2 linked regions of the Drosophila melanogaster genome follow. The protein of the gene in region 1 purifies or fractionates together with the protein of each later gene. This does not show direct contact. Each region holds a gene or a part of one and is shown on either strand. Other genes may lie near its edges.

What was found. The genes of interacting proteins can lie anywhere in the genome.
Region 2: the proteins of nocte (region 1) and Tet purify together in Drosophila melanogaster (affinity purification with mass spectrometry, with the first as the bait; one large-scale study listed by BioGRID). This does not show direct contact.

What each region holds. Positions count from the first base shown.
Region 1 is NC_004354.4:10,471,669-10,476,489, forward strand, and holds the start of nocte (no circadian temperature entrainment), read right to left. Parts: upstream 3,008-4,821; 5' UTR 2,385-3,007; exon of another isoform or gene 2,270-2,384; intron 1,920-2,269; exon of another isoform or gene 1,501-1,919; intron 476-1,500; 5' UTR 302-475; coding exon 212-301; intron 116-211; coding exon 1-115. Other genes in the region: CG2889 (uncharacterized protein), read left to right, coding at 3,350-3,472, 3,534-3,954, 4,013-4,457, 4,515-4,727.
Region 2 is NT_037436.4:2,876,113-2,880,916, reverse strand, and holds the start of Tet (Ten-Eleven translocation (TET) family protein), read left to right. Parts: upstream 1-1,758; 5' UTR 1,759-2,384; intron 2,385-4,804. UniProt on the Drosophila melanogaster protein: Dioxygenase that specifically demethylates DNA methylated on the 6th position of adenine (N(6)-methyladenosine) DNA.

The sequences.
Region 1 (4,821 bases):
TCAGGGATGGCAAATTGGCTGGTGGTCGCCTAGCGGACGGCACTTTGCCCAAGATTTGCATTCCATGTTTACGTGGCACTTGATTCTTTTGTGCAGATGGTTCACTTGACTCGCCCTGCAAACAATAAGAACAAGTTGGCGATCAGATAGGTTTGGATCTATCAAGATCTAGATGTAGATCTAGATCTAGGTCTAGGGGCTCGCTACTTACGCGGCTATTCTTGTACATGCGATTTATATCTAACGCTGTGAATTTGGGCTTGGCATTTCGCTCTCCCCTACTTCCCCCCAGTGTACTCATGCTGCCAATAGATCCTCATTAGCGTTAGCTTCCTTCTCGCCACCGCCGCGCTCCTCGTCTTCCCGCTGCGCTGGAGGATGGGCTAGGATGTGGCTGTGGTTCTTGACGAGAATGAGTTTAAGGAGCTGGGATCGCTTTTGGGCCGAAGCTCCTTGTTTCAGTCTTTCTGGTGGGCTGCAAAATACAAAAGCGTAGATAGGCATTTAATTGAGTATAGGTGCAGGCGTAGCGAGGCGAGGCTAGTCAGTTGCAAGTGGGTGGTGCTCCCGACAAATTGTTTTCAACACGCTGGTTATTGTGTGTCCGGGAACTCCTCTATTTAGCCACCCCCAACCGATCCGCACCACTAACGCTTACAGAGGTGGATCTGTAGCGAAAATTGGTTCTTCTTAGAAAGATATTGCAAATAATTTGGAAAATAACCTCTTCAAACAATAATAGGTATGGGTTTCAACTAAACCGAGTTTTAGTAGAAATGCTTTTGATATTTCATTTCCACTGAAACTAAAGAAGTTTCTTGGTAGTTTTCCAACACATGCTGTTGCGAAATACGTTCAAGTTCTTAATGCTTCGTTAAAGTAACAACTAGAGTGTAATTCCATTCGACTACTACCATTCGAAACTGTTTGTAGAATCATTTGGTATTTTGTTGATATTGCGTTTATTACGAAAACGTTTGGGGCAACTATTTCCCAGTTTCGCTCCCCCCTTTGATCCGACACTGAATGCAGGCAATGTTTGGTGCGAGCAGGACAGCCAGTGCCTCGCAGCACACGCAACTGAGAGGCTGCCTTGGGCGGGTGACAGCGGAAGCGGGACAGCTAGATAGATTTACCCACACACACACACCAGCGCCAGCAGCGGCAGAAGCGGCAACGCATTGAAAGAATTTTTTGCGGTGGCGTCTTGTAATAATTGCGGCAGGGGGCGTGAAGGGGCGGCCGAACAATGGCTGACAACTACAGCAACAATAGAAAAAACGGGGCCAGTAAAATCCTCGCAACAAGAGCGACAACAACAAAGGCCGGCATTTAAAATGTAACCAATTTGACAGATGCAAGTGGGGGGAGTACAAGACAATCTAAACGCTTGGCAACAATTCTATGTCTCCTTTTTGTAATAACAACCATTCACAAGCACAACGCACACTAACACCACGCAGGCACAGGCGCACACATCACGCACACACACACACTTACGTTCGCAGAAACCGAGAGGATTTGATAGTTATTATTTAATCGACGAGTGCAATTTTTTTTTTTGACCACCTTTTGTTTTACAGCCGTATCCTTTTATTAATTTTGCATGGCACAGTGGCTGGCAAAGGCAAACAAAGAGGAGAGACGAGTAAAATATACCGTTTAAACAGCACGCACGCACACAGCAATACACTCGGGGAGTTTCGTTTGTTGGGCAGCGATGATAAACTGAATGGAAAACGCTTGAATTTGTTTACTTCGAATGTTTCGCGGTCTGCTGGCACACTTGGCCGCCTGTATGTTGGTTATTTAACTGTTAACTTCGCGGAAATTGATATCTTTTGATTCTGCTTTTCACCGTCCAACATAAAGTTTGCCGCTAATTCTTCTTCCTCGAGTTCTTCCTCTACCACTTCTCACTTTTCGAATGTATTGCGTGCGTGAGTGGTGTGGAGCGCGGCGTTGCCACCTGGTCCGTTGGGATCCAGCCAGACCGCCGAGTGAAACTAATTCCGGGGGTGGCAGTCGCCTGGCAATTATTAAACAATTAGAGAGCGTGCTATTTAGCGATTAAACGGAAATTAACACGGACTCTATGCATCGATGCCGACAAAAAGAGAAAACGGACCACGATGACCTGCCGACGACAAATGCAACGCTGTTTGCGATATAGAGCGGGACAACATGACTAGCTGAACTTCCCTCCCACTCCCACACGTCGAATTTGACAGAACCGACAAAAATATTTCTTTGATACAATGCGTATTTTCTACAAACAAAATCACAGATTTACAAACCCGCTGTGCAATTAAACATAATTTAGCAAACAAATCTCGGTTCCGGCCTACTTCCAGAGCGAGAGCATGAGAGACCATAGAGCTTACCCTTTCGCACGCAGAGCACACACCGCAAACACAGTTCGTTGCTCCTTGGCTTCTTTCTTTCCTTCGCCTTTTTTTTGCACTCTTTCTGGCGCTTACTCAGCGCCCGTTTCGCCGCTTGTTAAAACACGGGACGAAAACAAAAGAGAGCGCAACCAAGACGAGACGTGCCGCTGCTGCAGTTGTTGTTGTTAGTCGCCTTTGTTCGCCAGAATCTTCGATTTGGTTGAATTTCGATTTCGATTTGGTTGCGATTTTCGCTATGTTGCGCTGGCTTTGTCAGCGCTCTCGCTCCCACTCACTTGCACTGCGCTCTCCCACTCTCCGCTCACTCGCGCCGTCCCTCTCGCGCGCTGTCGCTTTTTTGCAAGTGTAGGTGGAAAATGGTATCGGGTGAGGAGGCTTCGAGTAAACCCGTTTGAATTCGCTTTTTCCACGGGTTTTTGCCTTTCCTTCGCTAGGTTTTAGCTCTGCACACACACTACACACGCACACGAGTTGCGTTTCTTATTTGTTTTGATTATTTGCGTTGCGTTCTTTTCACGTAATACGTAATTGTCCATTAGTTTTAAATCGTATGTATTATTTTTTTGCCATTTTACGGCAAGCGTTGCCAGAGTTGTGTGGGTCGATTGGCGTGCTGCCTGACCGTCCGCAGAATGCCATCGTTTTGATGTGTATCCAGCGATATATTAAGTTTCATATTTTCGATTTTTAATTAATGGATAATCGTTTACAGCGTATTTTGCAGACAATTAAAAACGTAGACCATAAATTGTAAGAGAAATTAAAGAGAAATACTCAACGATCAGGGTGGCCACCCCGCAAAAAACTCCTGAGATGAAGTTTTGCCATTCACAATTGGATTCTGTTATCGATTCACGATAGGTGAATTATGTTGTTTACAACGAAAAACTGTTTAAATTTTTTATTTATTTGACTTTGCGTTGTGGTTCTGTTCGCGCGAAATGATTTGTCGCCTTTGCCTGCGATGTCTTAGTCCCGGAAGCGCTGTCTTCCTCTTTGAGACGGACGATACGCTTGCGGAGACGCGCCTGGTCAAGATGATTGCGAAGTTTCTGCAGCTGGAGGTGAGTGTATCTGGCAAATACCAATGGTATCAAAACAATTCCAATAAGCCATCCCATGCAGATCCTACCAGACGACGGCATCTCGACCAGCGTCTGTACCGAGTGCTGTGAGCATCTGGAGGACTTCAATGGCTTCTGGCAGCTGGTGGAGCAGAAGCAGTGCTCACTCAAGAAGGAGTTCCTTACCGTGGACGTCGACTGTGCGGCCATGAAGTGGACGGGCGGTGTGGACGTGGACGTCAACATCGACGAACTGCCGCTGGCGGCTGGCGACATGGACGAGAAACCGTTGGACCTGCACAACCTTAGTCTGCTGGGAAGCGTGCTGGACGTGAATGTGGACAGTGTGGAAGTCAGGGAACCGATCAAGGAGCAGCTGCCCTGCGAGGAGGAGGAGGACGAGAAGCCCTGCCTGCAAGCTAGTGATAGCGAACCGGAGGTGACCGAGGGGCAGCCGGAATCTGAATCTGACTCCTCAGATGGTTATTATCTTAATGTTTCCCAAGGATTAGCCGTAACTAAGTTCCTGTTCCATTGCAGATGAACCCCTGGTCCGTCTGAAATCGAAAATGAAGCCCAAGCGCAAAACCTCGGCACGTTCCTCCAAGGATCAGGGTCCGATATCGCTGCAGCAGGAGCTTGCAGATCTGCTCGACGATGGTGGCAAGCGTCGGCGCAGGAAGGCACCTGACCAGCGAACAACCACCGAGTCGCAGGAGTCCGAGCTACAGGCCGTTCTCGAGCGCAAGCCCAAGGGCTGCTCCCGTGCTCAGCTGGCCAAGAGCTACGAGAAGGCCATTGCTAGCTACATGAGTGCAAGCTGCGACCTGTGCGAATTTAGTGCTCCCTACCTATCCGAATTGAAGACCCACTTCCTGGAGGTGCACCAGCGCGAGTACTACATCAAGTGCTGCGGCAAAGTCTTTACACGCGCTTCCAAGCTGATGGACCACATCCGCAAACATATCAACCCCAAGCTATTTACGTGAGTTTGAAGCCCGAGGGTTCTGTCTGTTGCTACATAGACTTTAAAATCCCATAGCTGCACCATTTGCAAGAAGTCGCTCAACTCGCAGGACTACTTGGCCACTCATATCGAGACGGTGCACAACAAGGTGGCTCAAATCGGCAAGGTGCTCAAGTTCCCGTGCCCCAAGTGCGAACGCACCTTCAGCAGCGAGCGCCGTATGGCCAATCATCTGGCCAAGCACGACACCGATCAACTGGAGCACACCTGCGAGATCTGCTGCAAAAGGTGAGAATAGAGCAGGGTCTCTGATCGAATTGGAATTCTTGCCCCATATTTGAATTAGTAATCTTTATTCATTCCACACGCAAATGAGAGGGAT
Region 2 (4,804 bases), on another chromosome or scaffold:
CATTCATTTTTCAAATACTTCTGCAGCACCAACTGTCAGATACATTTCTGGTTTCCTTTGCCGCACGTCTTTTTATTGTGGCTGCTTGCAGTGTGAATGTCCTTTGCTGTCCTCACAAAGGACACGCAAAAGCCAAATAAGAGCGAAAAAAGTAGAAAAAAACGCAAAGAGCGGAATGCAGAAGAACGAAGAGAGACTTGCAGCAGCTTCGAGTGCAGAAAACCCAACTATGAAGAACTTGTCTGCGGATCGTGAACTTAAGAACTATCTAAGAGGAGAAAAGGCCGGCTGCATTTTGTTGTTTGTGCAGATGTTTCTTCGAGGTTCCTCGAGGGATTTTATGGGTATGCGTTGCGTATGGGACAGGTCAGTGTTCGGAGGATTCGGATTCAGATTGAGATTCGGTTCCGGAGGATTCGAAGTCGGTTAAGGGTTGTGCCCCTAGGTTGAATGATTTTCCATTACGCAATGCAAATAGACAGCAGCGTTCCGCGTACTCGCTTTGTTTTGTTATTTTCTCTGTCAGCGCCAGGCAACAATGCAACTGTCAAGGTTTCCATTTTCCGCCGTGGATTGCTCTCTATGAAATGGCGAAAAAATGGCAGCTCCACTAATAGTTGGCATGAAACGAGGTTGCAACAGGACCGCCACGAGAAAAAAGTGAAATGAAATCAACCGCCCCCGCTCTTTGCGCAAAAGTAAAAAAGGGGCAAAACATGGCAGGCAAATTGTACCAAAATCCCGCAACGGCAGCCAGTGCAATGCCAGGATATATGGCACATGCCCACAAGGTCCTGCCTCCGTGTCCTGCGTCCAGCGCAGCAGTGGCAGCAACAGCACCGCAGCAACGTCCACGGCACCGCAGCAACAGCAGCGGGAAAGTAAAACTTATTCGGCTGGTCGAACTGCGAATGCCCTGAATTTCGAAACACATTTTGCGAGCTTATCTATTCTGATAAAATTGTAAATAAATCAATAAACTATACGCCAATTACCATATAATGCATGCTTGAATTCAATGTGCTTAATTGCTAAGTAAGCTAAGTAAGCTCCTTGGTTAGGGTATCAAAACAAAGGCAGCAGAAAATATCTCGTAGCGCACATAGATTGCAAGTTCGCATTGTGAGCGCGAAACTAGGGAAAAAAATTTTTAATTGGAACAACAACTGTACAGCGGCGCAGCAGCAGCAACAACAACAAAAGCGCACTTCAAACGCCGCATGTTCGTATCCGTGTCTTGTTGCAGCTGTGTGTGTGTGTGTGTGTGCTTGTGTGTTAATGAAAGAGAGAGGATGCAGCCGTAAATGTAACTGTGTGCGTGCGGCTGTGTGTTTGTGTGTGTGTGCCAGGACTCTCGAGCCAAAAGTTGCAGGCGCAACAGCAACAAGCAGCAGTTCGAAGTTAAATATTTAAGAATTTACAAAACTTTTTAGGGAACATAAAAATAAATACAAATTTCAAAACGAAAGAATCTTGCTCTTCATCTTTTAATGATGGTCAAACTGAAAAATAATATATTTTACGAATGACTAATAAGCACAAAAATAAATTAAAAATCATTTCTTAAAAATGCTTAAGTATTGAATGAATTATACAATATAAAACCGCTAGTTAAGAGAATTCGGTCGTCATGCTTGTTGTATTCTTAAGTTCGAGTGGAGCCCGCATTGGTTCGATGCGAACATGAACCTGTTCGCTTCGAGCACGAACTTGTTCGATACATTTTATGTTTGCTCCTTCATTTTCATTTTCATTTTCAGTTCAGTTAGTTCAGTTGTTGTGTATCCTTCGGGTGAAAAGTTTCCTACAAAACACGGACTTTTGCACCGCCGCCGCCGTTCGAGCGCTAGAAACGAGTGCGAGTGCGTGTGAGACTTACTAGCTAACTAACTGATTCTGATTCTGATTTTCGGGAATATACTATCCCTTCGGTGTGGGTGTGATCGAGTTCAAGGACTCGCGACTAACTTGTTCCAGTTTCGAAAACAGGCAGCCCCAAATAATGTGACCAATGTGACCAGTGAATTAGAATATCCAAGAGCAAAACAAAATCAAGAACTCCCGCAGATGCCGCACTTGCAGCTCCAAGTTCTTCAGCTTTTCATCCAAGTCCCGGTTTAATTTGCAGCTCCAGTTTCGCGCTCGGTTCTCTGGGTTTCCCTGCAATTTCCGCGATTTCCTTCTTTTGTTCCCTTCGTTCCGTTTTCGCGTCGCGGTTTGTTATTGTCAACTTTCGTTTTCGTGCGGTTTTTCGCGGCTTTTCTAACGGTCCAACGACGGTCGGCAAATGGATAGTGAAACTGGCTTGGATTTCCAATAGCTTCTAAGTACTCAACATTTTCCGAGGAAAAAAACTCGTGAAAGGACATGGATTAACAACTAAGGTTTGTAGTAGGGATTTAACAATATACATATATTTAAGTATATATAAATCGGGATGCTTTATGTATACCTTTTATCTATATATAACTATTCTGCGTATATAATCATTTTATTTGTGGTACCAAAGAAAATTAAATAAATGGTTTTTTTTTTTCATTAATTAAGCATAGCCATCAAACAAAAAGACAAATAGCCGCATACAGAACATAACTAACTCTTTGAAAACGAATCGTAAGGAACGTTTCCAAGAAACCAAACAGAATGGCCATATCCCTTTCATAAAACCGACTCCAATTAATAAAGCCAATTGAGCAAATGTATAAAAATGTTGAGCTCCAATCAAATATAAAACTCTACGCTTTTGTTCCTAATCCCTCAATTAAACTCACCTCTCGACCGAAAGCCAAAGAAAAACAAATTTCCAATTGAAATTTGCATTTGGGGCACAGGAAATACTTTCCAAGCGTAAACATGTAAACAAAGAGATAACAATTGTTATTGGTCATCCGAGGATCAAATTACAATAAGTGCAAGCTCAAAGAAGACCCAAAAAACAAAATCACAATCACCTAAGCAGGCAATTTCAGCGAGCTTTATTTGTGCAAGACAAATAAACAAAATAAAATAATAATATTACAGTAAAGGCAGAGGCTTCTCTTTTTGGACCGCAAACACTTATGGCAATGAGTAATGACTTTTAAAAGAAGAACTGTTTCTGATAGATACATTTTGCGTTTGTCTTAGCGCCAACTTAAATTAAAAAGCAGCGGGCTCTGAACTTCTTCTGGTTGTGAAGAGTTGAGCCGAGGCCCTGAAAACGTGCCAGAAAGCGACACACAGAGATACAAAGATACAGATACTCGTAACTAACAGTAACGTGCGTACATCTTCAAGATACTTTTTGGCGCGCTCAGAACAGAAGCGCCGAAAACAGAAAATAAAACAAGGAGAGTACATGGGAACGAGAAGCACAACAGAAAGCGAAAAGCTAAGAACACAGAAGGAGATACTTGTGCTCCTACAAGATACAGCTACAGATACAGATACATGGCAATAAAGAGAATTTAAAGAAAGATAAATAATAAAACCAAACAAATTGAGGCGCAGGCCGCGAAAGAAGTTCAAGTTCAGCGAATGTATCTCCGTGCCAGTATCTGTATCTGTTGGATGCAATTTGTCGGCCGCCTGCAAGTTTATTACCGTCTTACCCCCAATGAATCTATATATAGCTGCCATATTTTGTTTACAATTTTCCGCCGCCCACGATTCATTCATAAAACACATCAGCCCAAAATAAAAGTTGGCAAAAGGACACGCAGGCAAATTAAGGCTTTGACCTAGAGAAAAATAAACAACACCCAGGATATAACCCCTGCCCCCGTCCTCCCCCCCTCCACACACTCGTTAACAGTAACGTGCGTGACTTTGAAAGCAGGCAAGGCAAATGACAAACTCGTAAATCTCAACACACTCACGGGAAGTGGGTGGTGCGTTTTTTTTTTTGGGATGTGGGTGAAAATGCGAGGCATAAGTGCCCCTACTCCCATTCATATACGCTTAATACTCAGCCGCGTATGCCTGTCCATGGACTCCTTGCATGGCTTCATTGGGCCCCACAGCACGTTTCATTTCATCCACACCTGCACCGCCGCACCACTCCGCGCACAACCCATCCCCACACCCAAACACCCAAACACCAATACCGCCAAGCTTCGGCACAACTCAATTTGCACGTGACACAACGAGGAACGAGATGTGGAGCAGGCACTGCCAGGCGAATTAACTCGCGTCAGGAATTTAAAGAAAATATCTTTCAGATACTATATATATTTTTAAGCATTCAAGTTCTAAGCTAGAACGAAAAAATGTTATATGAGAGCTTGAAATTAAGTTTTCGTATTAATATTCGCCATCATTTATAATATTGTAATAACTTGCCTTTAAGAAATTCAAACAGAGAACCGACAGAGAATAGTCGCTTAACTAAAAACAATTTTATTGCATTTGATGGCTTGATAAACAGCTTTCACTAAATTGCCTGCGTTCCATAGTATTTGTCTTGACTTTCAAGCTACCTTCCGCACAATATAAACTCGATTAAGTACATCCACCACCTTCGCAAGGAATGCAATTTCAGCCGTCTAGTTCGTATCATTAACATAAAATGAAATAATTTCCCCACCCATTTGCCAGTTTGTGGGGCTTCTTGAAATGCTACCCGGCCGAAATGATGCACCCCACCGAAAGTGGAATGGAATTTTATTCATTAACTTGCTGCGCTGCACATTTGGCAATTGTATAACATGCATAAATATGCAAACTTATTATGGCCCGAAAAATAGTTTCGCAATAGCGCAGTGCTGGGGAAAAATGTTAATAAATATTTAGCCCAACTGCTTTTGAACAATCCTCATATGAGCAA